3 linked regions of the Caenorhabditis elegans genome follow. The protein of the gene in region 3 purifies or fractionates together with the protein of the main gene of each other region. This does not show direct contact. Each region holds a gene or a part of one and is shown on either strand. Other genes may lie near its edges.

Region 1 (10,140 bases), 5.4 Mb from region 3:
ACAGAACGAACCTTATTTGGTTGAAAAGGACTGGGAGGGGGTTTGGGAAAATACACACAGTGTTGCTTAGGAGATTCGAAGGGAAGAGAAAAAACGAGAGAAATAGATTAGTGATTAAAAAAACCAAAAAATGAAATTCAACAAAATGAGAATAAATTATGGAGGTCCTTAGAAGAGAAAAAATAATAAATTTTTAGATAAAATAAGAAAAATGATTATGCAAATGCATCCTCGCGATCGGCGCTTCCTGTTCCAAGTGGATCGTCGAATGCCTAAAATGAAAGAAATATTAAAATTGTTTAGAACTAGATCGAATACCTTAAAGTTATGGAAGTGAACCGGCCGATGATCTTCATGATAGTACTCCTTTGGATTAGAAAGACACACATCGAACTTCATTGCAGGCGACCAACGTTGACCTTGGAAATTGTAGTTCCACACTCCGTTTGATGGAACCATGAAGTATCCAAGGAATCGATCAGATAGAAGCATTTGCACTTTCTCATAGTGAGTTGGCATATATCCCTTTGGATTATTTCCTTTGTCGGTATTCGCTTTACCCCATTCATATCCCGATGGTGTAAGTTTATATGCAGTCAGAGAAACAGATCCAGGAGTGAAACTGCACGTGATCATCACTGTCTTTTCTCCATCCCAGCTGATGTTATCGGTCAATAGCTGAAATATTACATTTATCCAGGTTATCATTTCGTTTTGAGAATATTTTCTTCGGGATAATTTTTTTAAATGTAGCAAGTTCAATTATAATTTTTGACTACAAATATCCTAAATTATGTTACCTTGGCATGAGTTGTGACATCTTGTGGAGACAATTGTGGCAACTCATTTGGTTGAGTGTGCATCCATCCAAGTGGCTCAAAATCGCGAAGAAGCTCATGATCCGGAAGTTGTGTTGGAAGATTGACTTGCTGATGACTTCCAGTCTGTGGAACGAGGACAATGCACCGAATCTCCTTTACTTGTGGATTATCAGGTGGCGATACACCATACATGAATCCAGCAATCTGTGTTCGAAGATCCGAGATAGTGATGAACTTCTTGAGGATATTCTTTGGAAGAATATAAGTATATCCTGTATCCTTGACATCATCGGAATTGACATAGATGTGTTGAGTTCGAAGATGAAGATTTGTGGATGAAATAGCACGAACTCTCCATTCTGTACGACTAGCAAACGATGCTGTTTCGTAATTCGATGTAGTTGCTGTGATAATTTCATCTCCATGTTTATTGACAGTTCGTGTAGTCGTTGCAGTAACTTGACTCTGCTCTTTCGTTTGTTTCTCAATATCCGCAATCTGTTGACGTTGTTGGCTTGGCGCAGAGATTTCCATTCCAAGAATAATATCTCTGACTTCAGATTGAGTCAATGAAGCAACATTCACATTGTTCTTCTTTCCATAATCTGCCAGAATCATATCCTTCAGAGCCAATTCAACCTTGATCCAATCGTCGTCAGAAAGTGTGGGCCAAATATGATGAGGCTCGGTGATAGTAGTCTTGTCTGGTTTCAAGATAACTTTAGTCTTATCTGGATTAATGTGCATTCCACGCATGATAAGAACGACACGAGAGAAAGCAGTGTATGAAGAAATTGTCTTGAGCCAATCATCGTACAGATTGAACAACACCATCTGTGGCTCGGTGGCCTTGAGAATTAAATCACCGAATTTTTCAACCTTCATGATAGCTTGGAATGGTAACATGAGCTCAGATCCCTTGATGACAATATTCGGGAAATCGAGAAGATGCACCTCCAATGGATCGAGCATAGCTTTTCTTGTTACAATGATCTGGCGTGGTTGTTCTTCAACTGGAAGCGAACGAATGAGGGCAGCAACTTCTTCTGCTGTTTTCCACTTGGCCAACTGCGACAAACGCTTCTGTCCAGCCCATACGGATGTATGAATGATCTTGAGGAAAAGCTGACCAGTACGTGGATTGAAGATGAAGATGGCTCCGTTAATTGGCTTGGTCGTTAGGTTACCTTCGAATGTCTTGTGAATGGTGACACGGTAGACATTGGTATCATCAACGAACCAGATAATTTGGTTACTGAACAACTCTCCGTAGTTTTGACTTGTCAAATAAGGTTCAGTTGGTTCCGACGAGTAGAGTTGAAGACCCTTGCGAATACGTTCACGCAGCACATAGAAGGCTGGATTGGCTTTGATGATCTTTGCCATCGCCTGTCGAATCAATGGTTTCATTCCTGGGAACCAGTTTCCGTACGCAGAATATAGATTGTACGCGAGGTCGATTGCGATGAGAACTCCAGTCGGTGAAGGATAAATCGACATGTTATCAGTGGTATAGTCAAGGAATTTTGCACGGGCGTATCGTTCAACGTCGTGAGAATCATAATCTCCCCAACGAAGCTGCACATCGAGCCAATATTTCTGAGTTGTGGTGTTATCCATGACATCTCTGAAAAATTAAAATTAACTATTTAAAAGAAAAGTTCAGAAATTTTTGAGAAAATTATCTTTGCTAAAAGTATATCATTTTCAAACAACATTTCACATAAACTCACTTGCTGTCTGCCATCAAAGAAGGCCTAGACACATTCCACTTGTATTGAGCAAAGAGAAGTACGTCGGCACACGAACTGTTCATTTTGTAAGACTTTCTCGGATGGATAGTTTCTTTTTGGACTGTTTGAATCTCAAGTGCATCGAGTTCCTGATCGAAAACTTGACACAGATCCATAACTACTGACTCGTGAATCTTTTGCCACAAGTGAGCACGGAAGATTTGAATGAGAGAAATCTTGAGCGTCGGGATCTTTCCGTGCATGAAAATTCCAGTCAAATCGAGTTGTACTTGGAAACCGACGTAGACATTAGCACGGTTGATAGTTGGAGACCACCAGAGAGTGAAACGACGATTCGGAATTTGATTAAGTCCAGAACGTTGGGCGTTTGTCAGTTTCTTGAATTTCATCGACTCTTCGAATCCAGATGCACGTTCCCAGAACAAACCTTCCCATGTTGGGAAGTAGGTTCCCTAAAAATACACATATAAGACAAGAAAGCAAATTATATCTGTTAACACTTACCCTGAATAATGTATGTTCCAAAATTCCTTCTACTCCTCCAAGTGCTTGAATCATGTCTGTTCTATAGTTGTTCAAGTTCCATAACTTTCCGTCGTGTCTTTGATGTGTCCACCAGAATGGATTTTGCTTCAGAATTTGATAAGCCTTGAATTCGGTTCTAACACGCCATCCTTTATCGTATGCCAATGTGTGACGATCTTTTTGGAACAAAGTATTGATTCTCGGAATTCCACGATCCCATGAATCGTCGAGATCTTCCAAAGTGAGTCTTCTATTTTGAGCGTTGGCTTCTTGTCTCTTGAGCGCATATTCTGCCCACACACGAACAGAATCGACAAACTCTGCTTCCCAAGGTTGAATATATCTGTACAGATTTGGAATCAATTGGTCTTCATCGTGACTCATTCCGGAACGGAAGTGAGTGACACCTCCAGCTTCCGTTTGTTGCATCCATCGAAGATCAGACTGTGGGATCAAGACGTGTCCCATAGATAGCATTCCAAGTCCTCCGATTTCTTTTGGCGTATAGAAAACAACTGGAGGGAATCTTGAGGGCATTTTTGAGTTGAGTCCAATCTTGATTCTCGTTTGAATTTTATTCTCACATTTCACCAATAAATCCAAAAGTTCTTGAGTGTTCACAACAGCTTCTCTGAAGTAGGTCATCAATCCGATCAATGCTGTATTCCATTTGTTGACAATTTTGGTGAACGTTGTAGATCCAGAAGACATCAAAATTTGACGAATTCTGTTATGGAATTTGGACAATGACTCCTCATCGACCTTCAAGAAGCACTGAGCAGTTCTTTCCTTTGTCACTTCGTTTTGAAGATTCCATACACCATCACGATGAACAAACTCTTCATTAGCCGTACGACACTTTGGTAGAATACGACACTCGAATCCGGACATGTCGAACAACATGTTCGGGTTATCCTTACTGTACACTGATACGAATGAATTTTCCCACTCGACAGTTGTGATGGAACGTGGGAGACGGTTCTGTAAAATAACAAATATTTAAAAATCAAAATAGTAAATTCTACATTTTAATGTACGCCTGTCAAGTAGACCTTATCATTCAAGTTAAATGATGGATCTGTTCATGAGGCGGATAATCGCTTAATTTCCATTAGTTTTCGAGGAATTATCAACGAGCAGCCATCGAATAATTGCTCGCTTTCTTATACCTCGTGTTAAAATTTTAAAAAAATAATTAAAAATAAAATTTACCTTGATATCCCAGAAGACAGCACGACCCAAATTGACATCATGTTTCATCAATCTCATTCTAGCGTCTCTTGGCCAACACTTTTTGTTGTTATAACCGACAATATTCTCATTATTCGGATCTGGATGCTCTGTCAAGTATCTTTGAATCAAATCACGTGCTTCATCAGCACTGAAACGGAACATGATCCAAACTCGGTCGATGTACCGGCAGTAGAGACGAATAGGGTGACCAATTTCTGTGGCAACATCCTGGAATTGCAAGAACTCGTTTGGACATTGGGGCGGACCGGCAATTTCGGAAGCTCGTCGAAGTCCAAGAACAAGAAGATCAAGAACTAATCCATAGAATTGAACAATAAACGAAGCAAATTGTAGACCACGAATAATTCCGAAAGAATTGGTGTGGTTCATATCCTTATAGTTGATGAGAACGTTGTTCTTCGAAGTCATGTAATCGGCAATATTGTGATCCACAATCAATCTGAGCAATCTATTGAGAAGTGTCAAATCCATTTTTTCAGCAATTTTCTCCAATTTTGTTTCCATGATGACATTACACTCTCCTTCACTTGTCTCCCAAACATCTTGAAGATTGTTGAGACCTTGACACCATTTGTATGTAAGAAGCGGTGGTGGTTCAGTATCTCCTGGTTTCACCCATGCCGGGAACAATCTTCTCTTGTCTGCTTCATACCAGAGGTATTGATCGAGGTAAGCGTCAGTGACTTTCTCAAGAGGCTCGATATCGTAGACTGGAATAAGATGAGTGTAGAGATCCATAAACTCAATTCCGACTTCTTTGAATGCACGCTGCGTGAGCATGTGTCTCTTGATACGAGACAAAGCTTCGTGAGGATTATCATAAGCCTGTTCAATTAAAGCCAGTTCTTCTCTTTGGGATTGATTCAATCTATTCTTCACACTGTAACTTTCCTTCAGTCTTTCAAGAGCCAAAATAAGAAGTTTTGTGTCGTGTTTGTAAGAAAGTGGTGGGAAAGGAATCGGAGAAAATCTTCTTGATTCCAGCCAATGTACTGTAGTCGTGTAAATTGCAACAGCTTCTTCTGCAGAGATATATGGTCCGTCCTTCAAGTAATTGTGTTGTCTTTCTTGCTCTGATTTCAGGTATAATCTTGTCAATCTACCCAAGTTCTTCTTGCACACAGTTTTGTCTACTGTCGCTCCTCGTCTTACACGTTCTCTGTTGTAATGTGCCGAATTAGTCCACCAATCAGCCTTTGCTTTCACATAACGTAGAATCATATTTTCAACTGGAGTTGGCAGTCCGGGAACCTTCCATGGAATATTAGCCTTCCAACATCTCCACGCCTCTGACAAATGCTGAAGAATAACACGAGCCTTATTTTGTTTGATTCCGTCCGGCATCATATCCAGAATGTCATGCATGACAGCAGCACTGAAAATATTAATAAATAAATTCGTTTTCTTGCCATTTAAAGCTTACCGTAATTCAAGATCGAAATGAGATTCAACTCTTTGCTTGGTGACTGTCTTGGCCACTCCCTTTGAATGTCTTCCTTCGAATTGTCGAGACAACAGATTTCCAAGCCATCTCTCGAGCAGTGGTGTGATTCCACGCAAGAAGAACAACCAAACTCTCCATCCCGGAGCCCAAAAACCACATCCAGGTCCTTTACCAACCGGCCCAGTGTTGAAACGATAGTAGATGAGATGCTTGAGATCCTTGCACATTCTGACTTGTCTCATGAGCTTGTACTTGTAACGATACATTCCGGTCAGTTGACCGACGTGAGCAAAGATATATTGTAGACCATCTGCAAGTTGGTACGCATCGACGTTGTTCAAACGATACTGAACATGGGCATCAACAACAAGTTTTGTGAGACGAAGGATTTCTCTGCACAAATGGAATGCATTTCCGAAACGAGATTTCTTTCTTTCCTTTGTTGTCAATGTTTTAACTGGTTTCAAATTGAAGTTGTAATCAAGATGAAGATAGTTGAGATTCTTTCGGTGAATGAGCAAATTGAGCATGTTGTATCCTTGACGAAGAACTTGCAATCCAGCTTCTACCCAATCCAGGGTGGTTGTTTGGAAGAATTTTGTTGCCTTGAAGGAACGGAACAGATAACGACGCTTCTGGGGCTTCGGTGGACGATGTTTGAGAGCGTTCAGAACAAACACCTTGAGCAGTTTCTGATAAGAAACACGAACTTTCACGGGCATTCCTGAAAAATTGAATATATTATTTCAGCTTAGTATGCGAGAAACGAAACGAAAAAAATAGAAACAAAACTAACCTGCTGGACAATGTTCTCTATACCACGATTTGACAAGTGGTACATCCACTGCTCTTCTCGTTCTTCCCGATCGAAGATTGAATGGCCGAGGGGCCCATAGAAGTGCTAAACCATTAGCCGTGTTATCGGTGTAGAGTGGAACGTCTTCAAAAATGGGTCGAACATCTTCAGGCAGCTCCCACTCGTCTTCCTCTTCACCTTCTGGTAGATTTTCTTCAGTCTGAAAATGTTTTGACATACAATACGAATTGTCTCCAGTTTTATTTCTAGATATCACCGACAAAAAGGATGATTTCTCGCCTTTAATGGAAAATTTATATTGCGAATTTCGGCTACTGACTACCTTGTAAATTTATAGGAATCTGTTTATAATATCCGCATTTTATTTTAAAACATTGCTGAAACTTGTAAATAACTCACTGCTTTCAAGTTGCTGAGAACGATTGGATTGATCAATGGATCATAGTAGAATGCGGGAAGATCTGGGTCTTCAGTTTTGATAAATACAACTGAAGGAGTATGATACCATGAAACTTGAACAGGCAGCGAGCTGATCAGATTGTTGTACATGAATGGGAATGCAATTCTGTACTCGGTACGAATTGGAGCTCGAATAATAACTTTATTGATATCATTGAACTCGTTCCAGTCTTCATCACTGAAAATAATAAAATAGTATGCGTCATAACACAACTGGAAGCTTTTCACTTACGTATGTAAATCTTTTACCAATGGTTCGAACTTCGGGCCTCCTGGAATTGCAACGTTGAGTGCTTTAGCAGTGAAGAAACTTTTCATGTCAAACAAGTAGAAGTAGTTATCATCTACTAAATCGGTAAGCAGCTGATTTGCAAGACGATACAATGTGGACATCTGTGGAATACTGAATGCCCATTTTCTGTACGTTGGGCCGTTCACAAATCGAGTTGTTGCAAGAGGCTTGTGATCGTAGAACCATTCAGCAACAGCTCCGTCTTCTTCTGGATCTAGTTCCATTTGAATTGGCTCTAAAGGCTCGACATCCAGAATATTATCAGCATAATCGAGAGGCGGTTCTTCATCGTCAAATGGAGGGAATCTCATTCGCTTGAAATGACGACGATCACGTTTTTCTCTTCTCATCATAATCCACATCGTTCCCCATTGTGCCATGTAGACCGGCTCGATGACACGCGGAATGTCGTTGACAAAAGTGATCGCACCGGTGATGTGATACAGAACTTTTACATCTCTGATTTGTTCCCAGGGCATCGGCATGTTCTCCAGTAGCTTCAAAACGGCATGTGGCATATATTTCAAAGCACCGAGGTAGACTCTTTTATCATGACGATATTTGCGAGAAGTCATATCACCATGATCTCTGATAACTTTTCGGACGTGCTCAGGTGGCATTTCTTCTTTCTGCGTATCGGACATTCCAAACTTCTTTTTCTCCGAATACCGCTTTCCTTGAAGTTGTTTCCATTTTCGAGACTTTTCTTCCAGAATTGAATCCGGGATAGCATGTGGTTCAGTTTGGGGATGACCGCCGTAGTTGGCCATACCTATAACACACTATATAAAAATAGAATTAAAACTAATCAATGAGTTGACGAGCAAGGAAAAATAAGTATTACTGTAGAGAAACTGGAAAGAGAGATTTGTCTTTGTTTAGACTGTAAGATCACATGAATTGATAGTTGGAATTGTGCATTACAGTTAATAGCGCACAAAATTTACATTAAAAAACGGAATTTATTCAGACTGAACCAGAAAATCATGAATAAAAACCGATAATTTCTATTTTCGAAAGTAAAATTTAAATTTCCTTAAATCTAAACAACGCGCGCAATTGTGTCGAGTGGAGCGTCGTACTTAGATCTGCAGGTGTTTGAGGTTACGGTGCCCGGTAATTCAAACACTCTTCGGCGTAATGTTTCGATCAATAGACCCGCCTCTTCTTGGCAGCCATTATTTGCGTTCGCGTTCGCCGCCGCCGAGGAAAGACATCTGCCCGAAAAAATTTATTGATTTTTCGAAAACTTATTGGCATTTTCTATTGCCCTCAGAATCTGAGTAAAGCTTCTGAATTGCAACTTTTCCTTTTTCAAGTCATGTGACTGGGGTAATATCATTTTTTCGAAACTGTTCCGAATTTTGTACAAATATCAATTTTTCGAAAAGGAAATTATTTCCAAACTGTCATTGTTACCCATTTTATATTGAAATGTACCACATTTATTCCTCATAGACGAGTTCATGAAGATCTCCTTTTGAAAACTTTAAAAACTGTCCAACTTAAAAAAAAGGTAGTATTTTCGAATATCAAACGGCGATTTCGTAATTTTAATACTTTTCTAATATGTGTAATTTTTCGTAGATCGGTTTCGAAAATCGTATTGCTTATTTCGTAACTCTAACAAAGAACTCCTGCTTTTCGTAAATAATTCATTCGCGGAGTTTCCCAGTTGTTGTGTCTTTTTGAATTTAATCATTTTCTTTTATTTTTATCGAGATTATCGGGAATAGCTTTCTTTTAATTGAATTTATTTTCAGAATAACCTCTTGCTCGCTCAACTTATCAACAGAGGTAAAACTTATTCGCAATATAATATGTCTTCACGTTCCTCGTGGTCATCCACGGAGCAGATTAATCGCACAATCAGTTCCAGAGGTTAGTGAGAATAGCTCAATTAATTTGAGAGTTTAACATTATTTTCATTTTCAGCTGACGATCTTCCTCCACAACCTCGCCGTCTAGAAGTAGTTTCGAAGCAAGCAACGCGTGTGACGGCACTTTCTACAAAATTGGAATGGAAAATCGAACAATTTGAGAAATTGATGAAACTAATCAAAAACGGTTCGAATCTTATTTCAAGAATGTTTAGTGTCCCTGATGCGCCAACAGTTTGCTGGGAACTTCATGTGTATCCAAATGGAAAGCGTGATGAAGATGTGAATAATGTATCGTTTTTCTTGAGACAAGTTGGATTAGCCGTAAGTTTCATTCATATTTTCTATATATAAAATATAAAAACCTTTTTCAGAGAGGAGAGGAGCCCATCATGACAGAATTTCAAATTTATGCTCTCGATGCTAATAATCAAAGAGTCAGTGTATGCAGAGATACCAAAGATTTCACAAACCAACAAGGGCGTGGAAAGTTCCAAGTTTCGCGTGATAAGATGCTTGGGGCACTTCGATCTGACGGAACTCTCTTTTTGATTTGTGAAGTTGAATACTTCCCTCCTGGATCAAAAATATCAGTTGAGCCAGTTGTGGACGAAGATGTTAGCACAGAGGAGCAAGAAGAAATGCCTGAAGTAATTGTACGCGCAAATAATCGAAGTATGTGGGAAGATGAGCTATTCACCGATTGTGTGATTCATGTTGGCAATAAACATATAAAAGCCCATCGTTGCATTCTGGGCCAAAACTCGCCAGTGTTCAAAAGCATGTTCTCATCACCAAACATGATCGAAGCACAGAAAGGAGAGATTCACATTGAAGACGCCAAATATGATTCGGTTCGAGCGATGGTCGAGTTCATGTATACGGGAGCTACTG
Region 2 (10,140 bases), on a different chromosome or scaffold from region 3:
TCTCTGAAAAGGTAACTTTTTTTCTTTAAAAAATGCGAGATTTCAGGTGAAAAAAAGATCAGTTCAAGCAGAGCGGGTTCCAGTAACATCAAGAATCCACTCCAAAGGTTAGGACACTTTTAGCTCGCTGGAAATATACAAATTTATTTCCAGGACGATATTCTTTTGCTTCATTCCAAACTTTTCGCAGTCGACCAGAAAATTGTGACCAATTCGTTCCAAATTGCTCCGTTCCTACTAGAAAACGCTGAGCAGTGAGTACAACCAAAATACATCCTATTTTCTCATCCGGGCGTTCATCACAGCTACTGTATCCGACGATATACGATCCTGGATCAAATTTTGTTGTAAAACGTGCTGTTTTTGGATGTTCTACGATCTAGGCTATGTGAGATGTGGAATATTGTCATTTTTCATGCAAAAGTTATGACCGAGGTTTTGGCACGAACGAAAGTTGTCAGATATACAGTACTCACTGACTCTCGAACAATTGTCTCATTTCTTTTCATATCTGGCACGTTTTTGGAAATTTGCTCAAAAATATACTATTTTTTGCTAAAATCAATTTAAAATATTACGAAAAGAGAAAGATCACAGAAAATTCAATAAACTGATGGGTACTGTAGCTGAAAATATCACACATGCCAGAACTTCGATCTGAATTTTTTTGATGAAGATGTGGCATAATTTCCCATCTCACATGGCCTTGAAAGATGCACTAAGAAAGCTTGTAGTCGTGTTATATCTGAAATTTTTGGGATGCACGATAGAATGGAGCTGAAATACCTGAAGTTTAACAATTAATTAGTTCATATATCGCTTAATTTCACGGAAATCTTCCATAATAATTTTTTTCGTGTTTTGAGTCACGTTCTATATTACACTGCTTGTATTCGGGATTTTCAAAAAGGAAATTAATTTTAAAAATATTTAGTCATTGATAAGAAAAGTGCATTTAAAACCACGATTTTCAAGGATTTTATGAACAATTGGCATTTTAGATGGTATCAAAGAAAAGGAAAGAGCACGGCAAGAACTTGGGCGTCTTGGGACCTGCTGCCAAGAAACAGAAACGGCTCGAAAAATCTTTCGATCAATTAAAAAAGGATAACGACGCCTACGTGCTTGAAATTGATGATTTAAAGGAAAATATAAAAGATCAGACGTCGTTACGAGAAAAAGCTGAAAACTTGAATGAGAGTCTGAAAACGAAAGTTGAGGATTTGGCTAAGAAAGTAGATTCTATAGAAGGCGAAATAGAATTCGAAAAACGATCTCACAGTGATACGAAAAAGAAGTTGGGAAAGTTTGCGGATGAAACTTTCGTAAAGGAAGAAAAGCTCGAAAGAATTAATGAGGAAATGAGTGAAAATTTGAGAAAACTGGCACTAAAACCAGCGTCAGAAGCAAATAAAAAGTATCACCAGTTGTCACAGCCAACTAAAAACAAGAGATGTGAGACGGTTTTGGAGTGCATCCAGACTTATGTGGGAACGGATGAAGCCGATATTTTCATTGTGGACTTCGTGAAATATGTCTCGAAACACCGAAGGTTCAAATTTCGAACTAGATTTACGACTGAAGAGACGTTTTGTGCTGTAATTAAATTCAGACTGTCGGACGGATTTTTGAAATCTTTCAAAAGTTTCTCTCAAAAAACGCTCGGATTCGACATCTTTGGCTCTCGAAAGGAAGTTGACGAGCACAGAAAGAAATTGCAAGTGCATCAAGAATATGAGATTTCGATCGAAAGTTCAACTACAAAAACTCGCATTGGACGTGAGATTCCCATTCAAAATATTATCGCGGTCTGCAAAAATGTTCCTGAAGTTACGAGAAGAAGATTAGAAACTTTGTCTGCCAATGACAACCTGGTTTTCGATGAAGGGATAGGGGATGATATTATCATCTCCGCAGATACCGGTGATGGAGTAACAAAAGTTTGTATGTCTATCGAGAATTGTCAGAAGCCAAACAGCAGTCTCACCGAGACGGCTCTTGGATGGTACACTGGTACAGACAATTACACAAATCTGAAAAAGTATTTCGCGGGGATTTTCGAGCAGCTCGAAAAAATGACAAGCATTCGTTATCAAGAAAAAAATGCACTCGTTATTCGAAATATTCGTCTGAAATTGGTAGGAGATCTGAAATTTGAGTCATCTGCAATGAATCATCCAGGACAGGCAGCTTCAGATTCTTGCATTTTTTGTACCGGCAGATGGGCTCATTCTGGTATGAATAAGGCTACAGTTCAATCCTTCGAATTTGATAGATCGGGCCCTCTTCGTACATTGCGTGGTATGATATCAGCAGGGTATCATCCATTACTCCACATTGAGCCATTTTGTATCGTACCACCTTGTTTGCATCTTCTGATGGGATTGGTAAATGACTATATCTTGGCTTCACTTTTGGCACTTGCCAATCAAATCGACTTCCCTGGACAGGATCTTCCAGACTCTATGAACGAACAGAGAATGGAATTGGGAATAGTTCAGAAAGAAGAAAAATTTTGCCAAAAAGTGGTTGAAAGTCTGCAAAACGCCCTTGTGCTCACGACGAAAATCAAGGAAGTTTATGAGAGTCGACTAAAGCAGAATAATATCAAACGTTCGTCGATATCTTGTGGATCTCCAACATGCTGCGTCAGTGATATGCCAAAAAGCCAACAGGATCAAGATATCTTCTTCTGCGTTGCTTGTCCATTTGCAATTCATATGGTGTGTGCTGGTAGATATACGGAGGATCAACGCCAGGCAGCTAAACATCATCCGACTGCTTGTTTAAAATGTCAAGAAAAACATATTCTTTCTAATGAGGAAATGATTGAACATGCTAATGAGGCACTTGATGAGCTTGCCAGGCGCTTACAACACGAGACAAGCCATCTTAGTAACTTGAAAGCTGCTCGCCAAGACATGACAACGGCTATTTCGACTCGAACTGGGCCAACAAAACAGAAACTCGAGGAAGTTTTGGATTATATTGGCTGTAGTCAAAAAATTAACTATCAGGGATTAACCGGAAATCAAGTAAATTTGTGATTTTCGGTATTTGAAAATATTCTAATCTTTAGGTTCGCCAACTACTAAGGACAGAAAACATTGACAAAGTACTAAAAGTCTTCACGGACTGTAGTTGGATCCAGAATATGAGAAACTTCATGAATGATTTGGCGTCACTCATGTCAGCAAGCAATAACGCAGTCTTCACAGATGATGATTTGAATGATTTCGCTAAAACTTTGAAGAACTTGAAGAGAAACATCAGAATTCTTCATCCTTCGATGGGAGTCACTCCTAAACTTCACATCCTCTGTACTCACCTCGAGCCTTACATTAGAGCAAAAAGAACTTGGGGTCGTACTTCAGAACAAGGGATGGAAGCGTTTCATGTGCTCTTCAGGACAACAGAGACGCGATTTTCTTCTGTGATGTCTCTCAAGCTACGCGCTGAGTTGATGATCGACTATTTCGCTAACATCAACTATATTTCCGATAAAAGAAACTAGTGACAGCAAACATTTCTAGGAAACCGTTTTTATAGTACATCTCTCTCTCTCTCTCTCACTCACATGTTTTTTTTTCGATTAAATCAATTAAACGAGCAGAAAAGCCATGAATGATCTCTAAATTCCGACTTACAAAGTGTTTTGAGTTGATGATAAGCGTGAATCCTAATTTTCAATTGCCTAAACTAACAAACGGGTTGTGAATGGGTTCAGATTGGGGTACAGCATGAAAATATTTCAAAAGAAGTGAATACAATTTTAGAAAAACCGAATACAAGCAATGTAAACATGAAAATGAAACAAAAAAACGAAAAAAAAATCAACCTTGTTCGAAGAAAATGATGAGAATTAGAATGAGCAAGGAAATGCGAGAGACTTGGAAATGTGAGAGACGCAGCATTTCACGCGAAACGCGCCAGCAATCGTCGCGCTTGCGCATTTCGAGACGAGGATACTGTGTAAAATTGTAATCATTTGTTGCAATTTTTGTTCTTGAGTTAACTTTATTTTTCATTTTCCTCGACCTAATTTCTCAAAATTGTTAAAATGTATACTATTTATTACCCTGCAGTGCTCAAATCTTGTGATGAGCACTATCAAAGTTTTAGATGGAGTTTTTTAAAAAGTATTTTTTTTAGTATAATTGTTTTTTTCAGTAAATTTAGTTTTTTGGAGCAGAACGCTGAAATCTGCCAAGGTTCGCTACAACCAGATATATCTAGATATAACTGCAAATGTGCGCGCTCCATTGAGACTACACGCGACGCACAACCGCGACGCGTATTGGACAGCGTTCTCCGTCTTCTTTGAACAGCATCTGTCCTCAACCATTCTCTTCTCGTTTCTCTTTTAATTTTAAGATATATTTGCTCTTCAAAGGATAAATTTCAGTCAACGCATCGACACGTAGCGAGTGCCTCGACTTGAATATCGACAAAAATGGGTTAGTTTCTTTTTTAATAGTCGTTTTCTTATTGGAATATCGAAATCCGAGTGTCCACTGAAAGTATTTTATTTATCCTCCTAACACCATTCATGTTTTATAAATTAGGTTAATGCGTGAATTTGTGGGAGCTCCCGAATACAAATCACGGGCGTTGCCATTTCTGTTTCCCGGTTATTTGAAAACATTATCGATTTCAGCGGCTTACGACCAAAGTCAACCCGACTACAGCACACCCGAAGGGCAGCAGGCGTATTGGGCCTATTATCAACAGCAACAACAACAACAACCAGGAGGTCAACCTGATGTAAGTATATGAGATTTTGTGGGCTGATCGCCTCACTATCATGGCTTTGCTCAGAATTGTTCAGGAGCATAGTTCTGCTGTTGAATACCACCAGGCTCACAGACGTTTCATAGTTTAAATTTCAGCAGGATCCGTACGCCGCTGCTGCTTATGGAGGCCACGACCAAGCACAACAACCGCAAAATCCATATGCACCACCACCACCAGGAGCGGATCCATACGGCCAAGGATCCGGAGGCCAATCCGGAGGATCTGACCCCTACGGGCAAAGTAGAGGTGGCGGCCGTGGAGGATTCGGAGGCAGTCGTGGAGGAGGTGGATATGATGGTGGACGTGGCGGAAGTCGTGGAGGATACGACGGAGGACGCGGAGGTTACGGCGGTGATCGCGGAGGACGTGGTGGTGGTAGAGGTTTGTTCTTGTTTGATTAATGTATTCATAATAAACCATGTTTTTCAGGTGGCTACGACGGAGAACGCCGAGGTGGGAGCCGATGGGATGACGGAAACTCTGATCGGTAGGTAAACATCTGAATGTTTCGTTAGCAATATGCGGTATTTCCAAATTCGTTTGCTTAACCATCCAAAAATTGTTGTGTTGTGTTGAAAATCGAAACTGCTACAGAGTTCAGAGTATTCAGTGTTCATATACAAAATCTATTCACTATTAAAAACTTGCGAAGAGTAATGTATTGTGTCCGTCATTGTAAGTTTCATGAAAAAAGGTCAGTGTCCGCAATGAAGCACAAATTCATTGTGCTTTATCGATTTGTAGGGCTATGGCCCGGTTTCCTTCAAAATATTATGCAGTTCAGCTATTATTACGTGTGTTCGGTATCAAAACGAGTCAAGAGTGAAGAACAAATGAAGTCTACCAAACGACTTCGAGCGTGCAGGAGATGCTTCTGTCTGAAATCTCTCATGCTTGAAAAATCTTAAAATCTAAATGATCGTGTTTGTGCGTACAAAAAAAAATCAATTGAAGGTGTATTATTGCGCGGTCGAAATCTGAAAACATTTTACTGTGGTGTTAGCATGAGAGAAGAAGACAGAAGACTCCATTCAAGAATGATGTTTTGCAGACAGGGCGGACCTCCAGGAGGAAGAGGAGGTTATCAAGGTATTGAATACGTAAATTGCTTTATCTTTCGTACCACAACGAGTTTATTACCAAAATTAAAAAAAAATGGGTATCCTACCGAGTTTATCATCGAAATTCAAAAACAAAAAACATTAAACGAATATAAAAATACTTGTTCCTGTGCTTTATATTATTGACAGTTGGACGAAAAAATTGTTTGTAAAAGTTTTCATATTTTCATTGCAGACAGAGGACCCCGACGTGACGGACCACCAAGTGGAGGAGGATACGGAGGCGGTGGTGCTGCTTCAGGAAACCGCGAATTCGGATCCGATGGGCGAGTTGAGTTGAAGGAGACCGTCTTTGTGCAGGGAATTTCCACCACGTATGTTTTGTAATCGCCCAATTAAAAAATGTATCTATATTTCAGTGCAAATGAAGCCTACATCGCCGACGTCTTCAGTACCTGCGGAGATATTGCAAAGAACGATCGCGGACCGAGAATCAAGATTTACACCGATCGCAACACCGGAGAACCAAAAGGAGAATGCATGATAACATTCGTCGATGCTTCTGCAGCTCAACAAGCTATAACTATGTACAATGGGCAACCATTCCCTGGCGGCTCAAGCCCGATGAGTATTTCACTAGCCAAGTTCCGCGCTGATGCAGGAGGTGAACGAGGTGGTCGTGGTGGACGAGGCGGTTTCGGAGGTGGTCGTGGTGGTCCTATGGGAGGACGTGGTGGCTTTGGCGGTGATCGTGGAGGATATGGCGGCGGCGGTGGTCGTGGAGGATTCGATGGTGGTCGCGGTGGTGGCGGTGGATTCCGTGGCGGAGACCGAGGAGGATTCCGAGGTGGTGATAGAGGAGGCTTCCGCGGAGGAGATCGTGGAGGATTCCGAGGCGGCGACCGTGGTGGCGATCGTGGAGGATTCAGAGGAGGCCGTGGAGTAGGTGGCGGAAATGCTAATATGGAACAAAGGAAGAATGACTGGCCATGTGAGCAGTGCGGAAATAGCAACTTCGCTTTCAGAAGAGTTAGTTAATTTTGTTTTTTCAAAAAAAAAACACGGGTTTTCTTCTAGGAATGCAATCAATGCCAAGCCCCGAGACCAGATGGAGGATCCGGAGGTGGTGGTGGCGAGCGACGAGGAGGACCACCAGGAGGTGACCGATACCGTCCATATTGAGCCATCAACTCGTCTCCCCATAAATTTTAACATCTAATTTAAATTCTCTGATCTCTTCAATGTGAGAGACTTGTAACAATTTTATATCCACCTTTATATTCTACTTCGATACATTCAAATTTCAATGTTCTTTTTATATTTCATTTTTTCCCACTTTTTATTTTTAACGAAAATAAAAATTTTTGCACATTAACATCTGTTTTTTTTGCAATTGTCCGCATTTCCCTACCCATCAGCTGCTTTGCGTGTCACTGTCTGTTTTCTCTCCGCACTTCATCTCTACGTCACACTATCTGCTTCTCCATCTCTTTCGTCTCGACCTCCCTTTGCCTCGGCGCCCACCTCTCATTCTTCCAATTTACCCGGGAGAGACTGTCCGTTCGAAACTTCGACCGACTAATGAGCAGTATTACAGGACTACAAGGTAAGATTCGAAGAAATCGCTATGAGAATAGATTTTTAGTAAGATTATTCTCGCATATTCAGAATAAAAATATAAAACTATCAATGAAAGTTATTTTAGATTCAGAATTAAAGTATAGTTCTTAAACTTTATGATTGATAGGCTCTACGAACATTTAATTTGAAGATAAAAACGTAGAAAGTTACATCGTAATTTAAATAGACTCTGACATGCCTTCACAAAGGCACACGGATTTATTCAGATGGGTCTTCGCGCGCAAAAAAGTTAATGGTAGTTTTTTTTAAATTAATTTTCATTATAATTTTAAATCTGATTCTGAATAACCAGTAGTTTTTATTGAAAATAAACGCAGTCGCTAAAATCCAAAAGCAGACTACCATAAACTTTTTCGCACACCAAGACCCATCTGAATATATCCGTGCGCATTAATCACAACCAAGGGTGTCAATTCCCGTTTCCCGTTTTTCCCGTTGTCCCGTTTTTGGGGTGTTTTCACGGGAACGGGAATTCCCGTTGTCCCGTTTTCGAAATTTTTACGGGACATTGACACCCTTGATCACAACAGCTGTTTGATTTTCAATAATTACATCTATGTAGTTGCACAAGTATTCAATTTTGAAAATAGTTTTTTTGTTTTTGAACTTTCCTATTGAAACTATTTGATAATGGTTAATGAACATGGGTCTCGCCACGCTGACAACGGGTTACTGTAACTCGTTAGAACTTACAGGTAGATATTACATCATATTTTTGTTTAATACAATTCCGCCACCAGTACCTCGTTTAATTTGAAAAGGTTGATACAATCTCGGTCCATAAATTAATATGAGCTACAGTAACTCGATGTCCGCGTGGCGAGACCCATGCACGTAAGATATGGCGAAAATTCTAATGTGCATAATAGGAATTCAATTTTTAATTTTTTTTGTGTGGTTTATTTTATATAAATACTCTCCTCGCTTTCAATTTCATTTTTTTAATTTTTCAAACTCAAAAAACACACATAGAAACACATAGAAACAAGAAGCTCTTTAAACATTTTCAATTCTTTTGTCCTTCTCCTCATTTTTTCTCCGGCACAATGAGCTTATTCGGTCATGTCAATGTCTGAGTCTCTATATCTTCAGTTGATATTTTGCCTATTTACCCAATGACCTACGAATCGTGTTTCGAATCAAAAACTTGAAAAAATTTGTGTTTGCCTACATTTTTTTGCCCCACACAATTTCATCTTCTTCAATACCCGTAACTACTTATATAATTTGGTTTCATATCTAATCAAACAAGTAATAAAACGGAAGGAAGATGGGAGATATTTAAAAGTAAAATAGATATGTTTGCAGTTAAATCTCTTCGAATCGGGGTGGAACCTGTTGAAGTAGAGTTAGATGAAGATGCTGGTATCTTGTGGACTTCACTTCAAACTGCATTTCCAGGTGGGTTACTGTAACGGAACACAAGAAGATAATGCATTTTAATTTGATGCATTCAGGCTTGTGTCAAACAAAAAACTTCTAGAAAAAATAGCAAGAACATTTGGATTTGGCAGTTGTAAAACATTTTTAATCAAATCATAGACAACCGAGAAGCTAATAGAAGAAAGAAGACAGTTCTTCAGTTTTTCATAATTTTTGTGACTTTTTTCAAAATAACAATCAACACGAGTACACTGTAGGTACTGTAGCCAGAAATTTCCAAATTCTTGTTGAATTTTCCTTTTTGTGAATGTTTTCATTTGACAACACACAAACTGTATCATTTTTTGATGATTCACGTGAATTTCTGCTGACAAGACAAATAGATAATAGCGGAACAGTCCGTGTTATTTTTGTTACCACACACCCCTCTGATGTAGGCATCAAACATGTCACCTCACCCATAGAATTGTTATCACTTCTCATTTCTGCTAACCTTTTTCTTGGTTTATTTCAATGTAATCAAATCGAATCAACATGTATGCAAAGTATGCGAATAATTGCAAAAGAATTGGCGCCCAAAAAGAGAGAGAGAGAGAGAGAGAGAAGAAGAAGCTTTTCTTATCTGTTACAGTCTGTGTCTTATTGATCCGTATATTTTCTCAAGGGTTTTACAGAAATTGATAGCAGCAGGAACTGGAGAGAATGAGAAAAAATGAAAATAAATAGGAAAAAAAATTACAGGATGTTCTGGGATGTACTACCGAGAAATCGGTGACTCATGCAAGAAATCAGTGAAATTTGATGGAAAAAAGTTTATGGCTCCTGGCGGAGCATGGAATGATCGAGAATACTTTGTGACTTTGAGTAAGATTTACCACAAGGACATACCGCAAACAACTTTGTTTAGGTCAAAGATGTCATACAGCTGCTGGAAATTCGGGACATACTGCTTCTTACAGCGACGCCACAAAACAATTTGAAAAAAGTGTGCAAGCAGTGCAGAAAATGATGTTGGCTTCTGGAATGAAAATAGGTGAGAAGGGTCATTCAGCACATAATTTTCATAATTTTTACCATATGAAATCAATTTATTCCTGAAATCAAACATACAAACTGCTCTTTGAGATATGAGCCATCTTACAAAGAAGCGCCAACACACTTCTTCTCGTGAAACAGCTTCATCAACTTCATCATCTACAGTAACCCCTGATCCGATTCAAGCAATTGAGGTAGGTATCCTTTATTTTGACATTTTTATTCA
Region 3 (10,140 bases):
GGAAATTTAGTTTTTTAGCTTTTTTTTTTTAAAGAAAAAATCGATTTTTTTAAAATCTTAATGTTTTGGTAATTTTTCTTCTTTCTAGAAGAAATTGATATTTTTCCCTATGTTTTTTTCAGAAACATACACAAAATTTGTTATAAAATGGAATTTTATTCTTAAATCGAAAATTTTTATAAAAAATTTAAAAAATGTGAGAAGCGGCAAGGTACCATAATTTTTCGATTTAAGAATAAAATTCCATTTTATAACAAATTTTGTGTATGTTTCTAAAAAAACATAGGGAAAGATATCAATTTCTTCTAGAAAGAAGAAAATATCGAAAATTCAAGAAAAAAATTTCTAAATTGATCGGACAAAACGAAATATTTCAATTTTCAAATAAAATAGCTAAAAAAACTTTGATTTCTCACTCGAAGCTTGTGAATTTGATCCTTGTAGTTTTCGCGTCCTCCGTAAAGAAGTGCTGATGTGATTGGGGTACGGTAGGCGAATTTTCGAGACTCGTTGAAGATCTGAAATTTGAAAAAAAAAATTAGGATTTAGAGCAATAAATCATTGTATTCCTCTCGGACAAGAACAATTTTTACCACCATTTTTCAAATGATTGACAAATGTGCTCTATTGTCAAATTGTTTGCAGAAATACGGTATTTATTCACATTTTCAGCCAATTTAACGCTGAAAATGTGAATAAATACCCGTTTTCACTGCAATCTATACTTTTGCAGCTGTTAGCGATTTTAGGTAAAACATTATGAAAATCTCAAATACAGCCTAGTCGAAAAAAAATATTTAAAAAGTTTAGTGAAAAAATAACTGTTACGTTTAAAAAGTTATTTGAAACGTGAAGTTACACCTTTTTATCGTCCCTTGAATGCTTTTTATATAAAAATTGATTTATCATAGTATTTCAATCAAGTTTTTGTATGTTTTGTCTGGAAAATAATTAAAAATTTCAGCTCTTCTTTGGGAATATTATGCTTTGTTTGTCTCGGTAAGACAAATAAAGTGAAAAAAGTGAAGAAAAGAGCATCCAAGGGTACTGTCAATGATAAGCATCCACATGTCGAATCCAAGGGAACGATCAATACTCCACCACCTAAACGTGAGGACGAAAGGATGTTGATGACAGCTGTGACAGTGAAACGAAGTCTCCATGTGATACTCACAAGGAAAGGAAGTCAATCTAGTCCCGGACTTCAAATCGAGACGTATGTCATTTGAAAGCTTATGTTTAGCCTAGATCACCACAAAAATTTTAGCGGCGGAACTCAACTCTGAACCCCTGAAATCGCCATCTGAAAATTTTTTCTCTGCGCCCTCCTAGTTTTAAATACTATTTCGTATTTATTCATTTTACATATACGAAAATTATCTTCAATATTTATAAAATGGTTTAAAACATTGAAATCAATAAAAATCAGGGATTGATGGCCGATGGTTTGTTAGATTCTAAAAACACCCAAAAACAATTTCTAATCGCTCAGAACCACTTTTAAGGCCATTTCCTTGACCTAGAATTCAGCGAAAAAATGCACTAGAACACTTTCAGATGGCGATTTCAGGGGTTCAGAGTTGAGTTCCGCCGCTGAAATTTTTGTGGTGATCTAGTCTAAACATAAGCTTTCAAATGACATACGTCTCGATTTGAAGTCCGAGACGAGATTGACTTCCTTTACTAGTCAGGTAGAGGCAGAGGTTCAAGGCACGAAACCTGTCAGAGACAGGGTGAGTTATTCACAGAAAACTTCAGATACTAAATTATCGATTTTTCAGCTCAAAAGCCAAAGAGAAGAAAGTTGAGGAGTTCTTCGATGATCAGGATGATGACGACACTCTTCGAAGGACTATCCAAGCATTCGCAACTAGCCCTTTTCTCTGAGAATTATTAGGTCTCCAAATAAGTTCCGGGTCAAAAATCATAACTTTGTTCGCTGCGTATCAATTTTTATGAAACTTTGGGAATTTACATTATCAACTATGATCTTTCATTTGACAATAGTCACAAAATTTTTTGACCACCCCAAGTGCCCTAACTCGGAGCCAATTTTTTCAGGCATTTTTCTGATCTCGCTTCTTTTCAGTTTTCAATTGAGCTTTGTGTGCGGATTTTGCTTTGTTTAGAATACATTATTAGAAAACAACAAAAGTTTGGAAAAAAATCCGCCCAAAAAAATTTTGTTTGGTTGGTCGTCAAAAAATGTTCAAAAAAATGTTTGTCGAAAATTCTAGATTTTTCCTACAAAAATGATGTAACCAAGTGTAAACTATTTTTACACATGCAAAACATATCAATTTAGTTCGATACACTAAAATGATAGTAGAAAATACAATTTTTTCGGATAATTTTTTAGTTTTTTGAATATTTCTTAAAATTCAAATTTTTAACTCAAATGATTTATATGTCTAAAAATTCGCAGTGGGGTGAGGCGTATAATCCTATAAAAGCAAAACTTCTAATACCATTCAAAAAATAGTTAATCTGAAGAACATGCGCCTGCGGCTCTCCTATTCCAGTTTTAGCAAAAAGCGTCTACACCAGGGCTCTGCGGTTTTGAAAAAAGTTGACTCTCGGTGCGCGAGTCGAGATCCGAGTTCCACTTATTTCTCTGGCTCACGCCGAGAGCCAAAAGCCGACTGTTTTATTTTTGGGTATCTGTTTTGGCAACATCCCTCTGATGATAAAATGTGTGTTTTAAATCCAAATGTTTCAAAAAAAAAAACATCCAGTTGTCCGAGAGGAGTACAATTCGCGAAATCCGACAGATTTATACCTGAAGGGAAAGCTCACGAGTCGGTGAGAGCACAAGAGCACTTGGATACTGCTTCTTTCTTCCACCAGAACTTGTAACAGAACGATGAACAGCATCAGGACCATCTTGAAGAATAGCATTAACCAGTGGAACCAGGAAAGCCGCAGTTTTTCCAGATCCAGTCTGAGCACATGACATCAAGTCACGACCTCCCTGCAATGCTGGAATGGAATATTTCTGAACAGGTGTCGGCCGATCGTATCCGGCGGTTTTAATATTCTCTTCGATCCATTCGTGAAGGCTGAGATCCGAGAAGAGGCTGATTGGCTGTGGAACATCGTCACCGGTCGCTTCAACTGGAATCTCCTCGTATTTGTCGAAATTAATGCCGGAAAGCTGTCCGGAGAAGAGCTCCTGCTCGATACGCTCATCGCGGGCTCCACGATTCTCCCATTTTGATGTGCCTCTGCTTGGTGGCGCGTCGAGATTGTTCCAGCGAGTGTTTTGGCTGAAATTAATAAATTATTTGAAAATTCGATTTGATTTTCCGAATTTGCAAGCATGCGGCGCGGTTAATCCTGTGTGGATTTACGGAGGATATCGTGTACTACACGTGGAGAAGTCTGTTTTTAAAAAAATGCTTTTTGGATCGTTTTTTGCTATATTAAATTGAAAACATTCAAAAAATTTCAAATTTCAAAACATTTTTGCAGATTTTTCAGTTAAACTTCAGCTTAGATTTTATAAAAATAAGGAGAAAAGCTAAGAAAATTCTAATTAAACAAATTTTGGGAATTTTCCACTAAAAATGCTCCGAAAACGCGTTGAACTTGCAATTTTTGCGCGAAATTTTGGATGGAAAGCTTAGAAAATAGTTGAAATTTGCAAAAAAAAAAACTCGAAATTTTTGAATTTTTCCGTAGAAATAGTCGAAAATAGCAAAAAAAAAACCATTTTCTAGACCGAATTTTTTCCGTAAAAAGGGTTAAAATTACGAAAAACCCCGATTTTACCAACGAAAACCTAAAATTTTTGTACAAAACTAGGAGAAAAAATATAAATGAGTAAAACACTCATTTTTGAGGTAGTTTTCATTGAAAAATGTCAATTTTTTTGTAAGATTTTGAGCATTTCTAGCAAAAATTGCATTTTTCAGACGATTCTTATCGAAAAAATTGTCAAATCGACGATAAAATGGCAATTTTCGATTCAAAACTGTACGAAATTTAGGAAAAAAAAGAACGGGAAATTTTAAATTTTGTACAAGCTGTCCTGTTCGAAGTTTTTTTTTCCGTAGAAATGGGAAACTTGGATTTTTATGGTTAAAAAAAAATTAAAATTACGAAAAATCCAATTTTTACAACGAAAACTCGGAATTTCTCCAATTTTTTTCGCTAATATTGAAAACCGTGCCGCAAGCTTGCATAGCAAATTTCTTCCATTTTTCCACTGACCCATCGCCTCCATTATCCCGACGATCATTATTGTATGATCTACCGGATCCTCTGTTATCAGAACCTTCATCACGGTTATTATATCCTCCTCTTGAGAAGTTTGATGATCCACCATCACCTCTATCCTGACGGTTATATCCTCCGCCACCGCCCCCGCGATTATTATTGTATCCACGGTTTCCACCTCCACCTCCACCGCCGTTGTAACCACGATCCTCGTAGTTACGATCTCTTCCATAACCACCACTTCCTCCACGGTTGTCACGATCGTCACGATTGTCATTGTATCCGCGATCATATCCTCCGCCACCGCCGCCGCCACTGTTTCCACCTCCACGACGGTATCCACCGCCTCCAGCTCCACCGCGGCGATCATCACCTCCTGCAGAAGCAGCAGCAGCAGCTCCACCATCTCCTCCGCGAAGATGTGGTGGTACATAACGTCCTCCTCTATTTAATGCAGCATTACCACTGCCTCCATTGTTCGATTGGTTACTTTCCATCAAAAAATAGCACGCGCGCAAATATGCGATCAACCCTGCAAAACAAAAAAATTGTGTGTTGAGAAATTGTTAGGAAAAATCTATTTTTTTAAACGAAAAATTGCAAATTTCCCGAAGAAAGGGTCGAAAATAGCGAAAAAAAACAATTTTTACAATGAAAACTTGGAGTTTTCCAGGAGAAAAACGCTAAACTACGAAACAACCATTTTTTTACAACGAAAATTGCAACTTTCCCGAAGAAATGGACGAAAATAGCGAAAAAATCAATTTTCTACAACGAAAACTTGTAATTTCTCAGTAGAAAACGGCTAAAACTACGGAAAATCCTGTGCCGAATGTGCCGAAAATTTGGAAAAAAACGAATAATTTTGAACGTATATACTCAAAATATGCGTCGAATTTTTTTATTGCTTTATTAGACTCAAAATTGTCTAAAAACACCGAATTTCATAATGAAACTTCTCGAAAACTTCTCAAAAAAAGAATGTTATGACGGCTCAAAAAACGGCCTAAAATTTGATAAAATATGAAATTTGATCTACTTGTCAAGCGGCTGGAAACAACTGATTTTTTTTGAAATCACCGTCAAATTTTTAGTATACAATGTAATTATCTTACGTTTTCCACTCGATTTAGGTATTTTAAAGTCGATGGACGGCGAGATTTTTAAACTTTTTAAACCAAATACATTGTATACCCAAAATTTGACGATGAGTTCAAAAAAAAAGTTAGTTTCCAGCCGCTTGAGGTCAAATTTCACATTTTACTAAATTGAGGCCATTTTTTGAGCCGCCATAACATTTTTTGAGTCGTTTTCAAGAAGTTTCATTATGAAATTCGGTGTTTTCAGGCAATTTTGAGTCTAATAAAGCAATAAAAAAAATTAGAATACGTCGTTTTGAAATTTTTGCTTGAAACGATAGAAAATGGGCCAAAACATTCGTATTCTAAATTTTTGATGACTTTTTTTTTCAATTTTTTGTTGGTTTTCCTCCATTTTTGCTGTTGAAAAACCGCTTTTGTCAATTTTCCAGACATTTTCCGTCTGTAAAATTCGCTAAAACTTAAAATTGTCCTAAAATATAGATTATTTTTGCAAAAAACTGTCTGAAAAACTGGCAAGCGGTGTTTTAAATCCAATATTGAAGAAAAACCAATAAATATAGCCAGAAAATGCGAAAATGGCAAAACCGGGTGGCTAAATTGAAAAAATCAATGTTTAGAGTTTATTTTCGCTTAATTAATGGAATAGTAAAAGAAAATTCAATAAAAATCCATATTTCAGCTACTGCAACACGAAAAAGTTGTCAAAAGTCAAGTTTTTAGCTAAAATGAGCTAAATTTTCCGGAATCTTCAAGAAATTTCATCAAAAAATTGCTTATTTCAGAACATATACGTTCGTCCTTCAAAGAATGGGGAAGCTCGTGCGTTCAGGGGCCGGAAGGAATAGTTGAGAGGATGGTGGAGACGCAGAGAACGCGTGGCGCACCACCCTATCGATTTTCGTTCCGCCCGTCTCCCGGAGCGGCGGAAAGTCGATAAATACATATAGAAATAATATTTGGAAGAATAAAATTGATTTGAGAATTATTATGAAATAAAATGGATGAGTCATTTTTTATTTTTAACGAGGAGTTTCACATGCAAATTCGTTTTTTTTTCTAAATTTCTAAATTTTCAGCCGTTTAGGGTGCTTTAGCAGGTTCAAACTGGCAATAAATGTGAATTTTAGATAGGAAACCCCCTGTTTTAAAAAAAATTTAGCTAAAAAATCGAGTTTAAAACCCCCGCTACATGGGTCAAATCGAAGAATCCTTCACCAGTGTATTTCTGAGTAATTAATTGAATTTTTACAATAAAAATCCGCTGAAAATTCGAAAATTATGCGATTTGAGCATCGAAAAATGTAAAATCTCGCGAAAAATGTTGAAAATAAAAGTGAAAAACTCTGTTGGTGTGGTTTTGCGTGGCGGTGTTTGCACACTTTTGTCTACCGTACCCACTCGAAATCAATTTTGAATTTTATTTTATAAATTAAAAAAAAACAATTTTAAATCGAAAATGTCCTCTGATGACGAGATTGAAAGCTTTCTGAAAAAGCAGCAGAATATTCCAATTGTTTTTATCACGGTAATTCTCTTTTTTTTCCTGAAATACTGAAATAAAACAGAATTCAGAGCGGAGGAACTCAAGTGCCGCTGGAAAAGAACACTGTCCGCTTTATCGACAATTTTTCGATGGGAACTCGTGGAGCAGCGAGTGCAGAGTAATTTAAAATGAAAATCAACGAAAAAAGAATTGAATTTTCTGCAGATATTTCCTGCGAGCCGGCTACGCGGTGATCTTCATGCACCGCGAGGAGTCCCTGAAGCCGTTCTCCAGGCATTTTCCGAATATTTTCAATTCGCTGAAGCTAGATGGGGAGAATGTTGTGTGTGATCTGCCGAATCTCGCGCAAATTCTGCGGGACAAGTTCAAGTACGAGGAGAAAATTCTGTACATTCCGTTCAAGACCTTCGATCAGTATATGTCACGTCTCGAGCAAATTTGCATTCATCTAAATCCTCTGGGATCCCGTGCAATGGCTTATTTGGCCGCTGCGGTTTCAGATTTTGTCGTCACCGAGCTGCCAACTCACAAAATCGCCAGCAACACCGAGCTGAGCCTGGAGCTCAGCGTTGCTCCGAAAGTTATTCAAAAAGTTGTCACCTGCTTCATCCCGAATGCGTTTATCGTCTCGTTTAAAGTTTGTTCTTGCGATTTTTGATCGAAATTTGCTATTTTCACCGATTTTTTTGTGCAAAAATGTCCAAAAAATGCGATTTTATCGAAAATTTTGGTTTTCTCTCCCGTAAACCACTTGGAATTGGATATTTTTGCCACTTTTAATCGAAAAAAATCCCGAAAAAATGCAAAAATTATATTGACGGGTCTTGGCACGACCACAGACACTTTTTGAAAAAAGGTGTGCGCCTTTAAAGGGTTACTGTAGCTTTTTTTTCCACTTTTTAGCAAAAAATTGTTTAAAAAGGACGAAAACCTAAAGAAACCGCAAGAAATTGGTTGAAATTTAACAGTATTTTTGAAATTTGAAGTGAAAATGAAAAATAAAACGAAAACCCCAGGAAAAAATGCAAAAATTCCTTTGGCGGGTATCGGCACGACCGCAGAAACTTTTTAAAAGAAGGCCTGCGCCTTTAAAGGGTTACTGTAATTTAATATGATTTTTTTTTCAATTTTTAACTAAAAAATTATTGAAAAATGGCAAAAGGTGTTTTAAAAAAATCGGTTTTTTTTTTCAATTTTAGAAAAAAAAACTATATTTCAATATATTTCAATGTCCAATGTACTTTTTTTTCACGGTTTTTTCTCTTTTTTTTTGGAAGAAAAAGTACATAAATTCAATTTCTACTGTATTTTTCGTGCTTTTTCTCAATTTTTAATCAAAAAATTAGTTGAAAATGCCCATTTCCCCCCGCTAAATTTCAATTTAATTCGTAAATTTCCAGCTAGAAACGGACGAAACAAAGCTGATTCCAAAGGCAAAAGCTGCTCTCTCCAAGTACGGCCATCAACTCGTCATCGCGAATATGCTATCAACTCGCAAGCAACGTGTAACTCTCGTCAGAAAGAATATTGAGCAAGGAGAGGAGATTAATCTTGCTCCGGGAGCCCCCGAGCTGGAGATCGAATCGTTTATAATCGATCGTGTTAGCGCTTTACACAGACAATTTATTGATGCACAAATGTAGATATACAGTCATGATTTTCACGGAAAATGAATAAATATTTTAATATAGTAGAGATCATGCATCGGCCATTGGTGGTGGGCAGTGCTCGTTGGGATGTTTCTCACTGTGAAGACGTCGCAAGTCTCCAGATTCGACGACAGATGACGAATGGACGGTTGAAGTGTTGGCGGCGGATGGGATCTGAAATAATATTTGATTTTTCAGGGGGAGTTTGTGAGAAAAATGATGGAAAAATCAATTTTTTATCACCCTCTTTCTGAAAATTTGCGTTAATTCTGAAAAAACCACTTTTTTTACAAAAATTTTTTATGGTCGGTCAAAATATCGAAGAAAAAAAAGCCAAATTTTGCTAAAATCTGAAATTTCGCACACTTTTCTTTGTCACAGCCGCTGGATTTTAATTTTTCTGAAATTATCACCCTTTAATCCTTATTTTGGTGATTTATCTCATTTTGATCATTTTTGGGTGCCTATCGGCCTAAAAGTTGTCTCGATCAACGAATTTCCGCGAGATAAATCACCAAAATAAGGATTAAAGGTTGATAATTTCAGAAAAATTAAAATCCAGCGGCTGTGACAAAGAAAAGTGTGCGAAATTTCAGATTTTAGCAAAATTTGGCTTTTTTTTCTTCGATATTTTGACCGACCATAAAAAATTTTTGTAAAAAAAGTGGTTTTTTCAGAATTAACGCAAATTTTCAGAAAAAGGGTCATAACAAATTGATTTTTTTTCCTAATTTTTCTACTAATTTTTAGAAAAAGAAACAAAAATCTTGGGTTTCATTGGTTTATATACACTTTTAATATACACTTTTTGTAAGTTTTCTACGGGAAAACTCGAAATTTAAGGCGATTATAATAGCTTTTGTTGAAAAATTTGGTCATTTCTCAATTCTTCCAGCAAAAAATCGTAATTTTCCATACAAAACGTTTTTTTCTGACAAAAATCAGTTTTAAAAGAATTTTCTGTTTGAAGGTGAAAATTCAGCGGTTTAGTGCGTTTTCAGTGAAAATTGGTTTTTCTGCCAAAAAAATCACCACTTCTTCTCGATTTTTTCCATTTATTTTTCAAAAAAATCAATTTTTCCAGTGAAAAATTGAAAATTTCGCTTTAAAATCTCTATAATTGTCGATATTTTTACCATTTTCTTCTCCGAATTAACCTTAAAAGCGAACATTCCATGCTGAGCCGGAGCTCTTGGAGGCATCGGATCCTGTGACGGAGCATCTTCCATAGATTCTCTTGGATGCTCCGATCGATCAAATGAGAATAAAGAGCCGAACATCATGTGCTGAACAACTGGAAACTTCTTTAAAACTTCTCCTTCATACATTTTAAACATTCCACTATTGACTTTTTTCCAGTGTGGAACTGCTGAGATATTCCAAAGTTGATTTGAATGTTCGTGGAAAGGGCCGGTTTTTGTTTGATTGATAAAGTTTACGCAGTCCAGGAAAAGACTTGTGTGGGCGTGAGTCTCAACAATATTCTTTTTTAGGTAACTGTCCGGCACGATACTTTTTGAACCTGAAAATCGAAACAATTTAAGATTTTGGAGCGGATTTTTGGCTATTTTTTGGCATTTTTCAACATATTTCAGGCCTATATAAGCTTTGGAAATTCAAAAGTTTTTTTTTTTGTAATTTATTGGTAGAAAACTAGATTTTTAGG

Evidence for each region.
Region 1: the proteins of laf-1 (region 3) and prp-8 fractionate together in Caenorhabditis elegans (co-fractionation; one large-scale study listed by BioGRID). This does not show direct contact.
Region 2: the proteins of laf-1 (region 3) and fust-1 fractionate together in Caenorhabditis elegans (co-fractionation; one large-scale study listed by BioGRID). This does not show direct contact.

Annotation. Positions count from the first base shown.
Region 1 is NC_003281.10:8,162,373-8,172,512, reverse strand, and holds the start of prp-8 (Pre-mRNA-splicing factor 8 homolog), read right to left. Parts: upstream 8,141-10,140; 5' UTR 8,137-8,140; coding exon 7,307-8,136; intron 7,253-7,306; coding exon 7,015-7,252; intron 6,974-7,014; exon of another isoform or gene 6,841-6,973; intron 6,815-6,840; coding exon 6,595-6,814; intron 6,523-6,594; coding exon 5,778-6,522; intron 5,730-5,777; coding exon 4,313-5,729; intron 4,300-4,312; exon of another isoform or gene 4,130-4,299; intron 4,082-4,129; coding exon 3,080-4,081; intron 3,028-3,079; coding exon 2,555-3,027; intron 2,449-2,554; coding exon 801-2,448; intron 679-800; coding exon 319-678; intron 273-318; coding exon 216-272; 3' UTR 1-215. Other genes in the region: bath-42 (BTB and MATH domain-containing protein 42), read left to right, coding at 9,187-9,247, 9,302-9,570, 9,621-10,140. UniProt on the Caenorhabditis elegans protein: Functions as a scaffold that mediates the ordered assembly of spliceosomal proteins and snRNAs. Required for the assembly of the U4/U6-U5 tri-snRNP complex.
Region 2 is NC_003280.10:7,148,247-7,158,386, forward strand, and holds fust-1 (RNA-binding protein FUS), read left to right. Parts: upstream 1-4,405; 5' UTR 4,406-4,453; coding exon 4,454-4,457; intron 4,458-4,657; coding exon 4,658-4,764; intron 4,765-4,889; coding exon 4,890-5,175; intron 5,176-5,223; coding exon 5,224-5,281; intron 5,282-5,845; coding exon 5,846-5,883; intron 5,884-6,090; coding exon 6,091-6,229; intron 6,230-6,274; coding exon 6,275-6,884; intron 6,885-6,932; coding exon 6,933-7,037; 3' UTR 7,038-7,226; downstream 7,227-10,140. Other genes in the region: T07F8.1 (Zinc finger PHD-type domain-containing protein), read left to right, coding at 1,002-3,035, 3,080-3,514; C27H5.2 (TAR DNA-binding protein 43 N-terminal domain-containing protein), read left to right, coding at 7,437-7,461, 8,805-8,897, 9,621-9,743, 9,787-9,912, 10,005-10,108.
Region 3 is NC_003281.10:2,774,304-2,784,443, forward strand, and holds the start of laf-1 (ATP-dependent RNA helicase laf-1), read right to left. Parts: upstream 4,751-10,140; 5' UTR 4,716-4,750; coding exon 4,213-4,715; intron 3,267-4,212; coding exon 2,780-3,266; intron 519-2,779; coding exon 417-518; intron 1-416. Other genes in the region: Y71H2AM.6 (DNA/pantothenate metabolism flavoprotein C-terminal domain-containing protein), read left to right, coding at 6,778-6,846, 6,894-6,982, 7,030-7,462, 8,226-8,468; Y71H2AM.20 (Serine/threonine-protein phosphatase 2A activator), read right to left, coding at 8,523-8,648, 9,632-9,996. UniProt on the Caenorhabditis elegans protein: Multifunctional ATP-dependent RNA helicase. Plays a role in RNA remodeling, but is not required for RNA unwinding. Binds to RNA in a concentration-dependent manner to stimulate annealing between two complementary strands of RNA.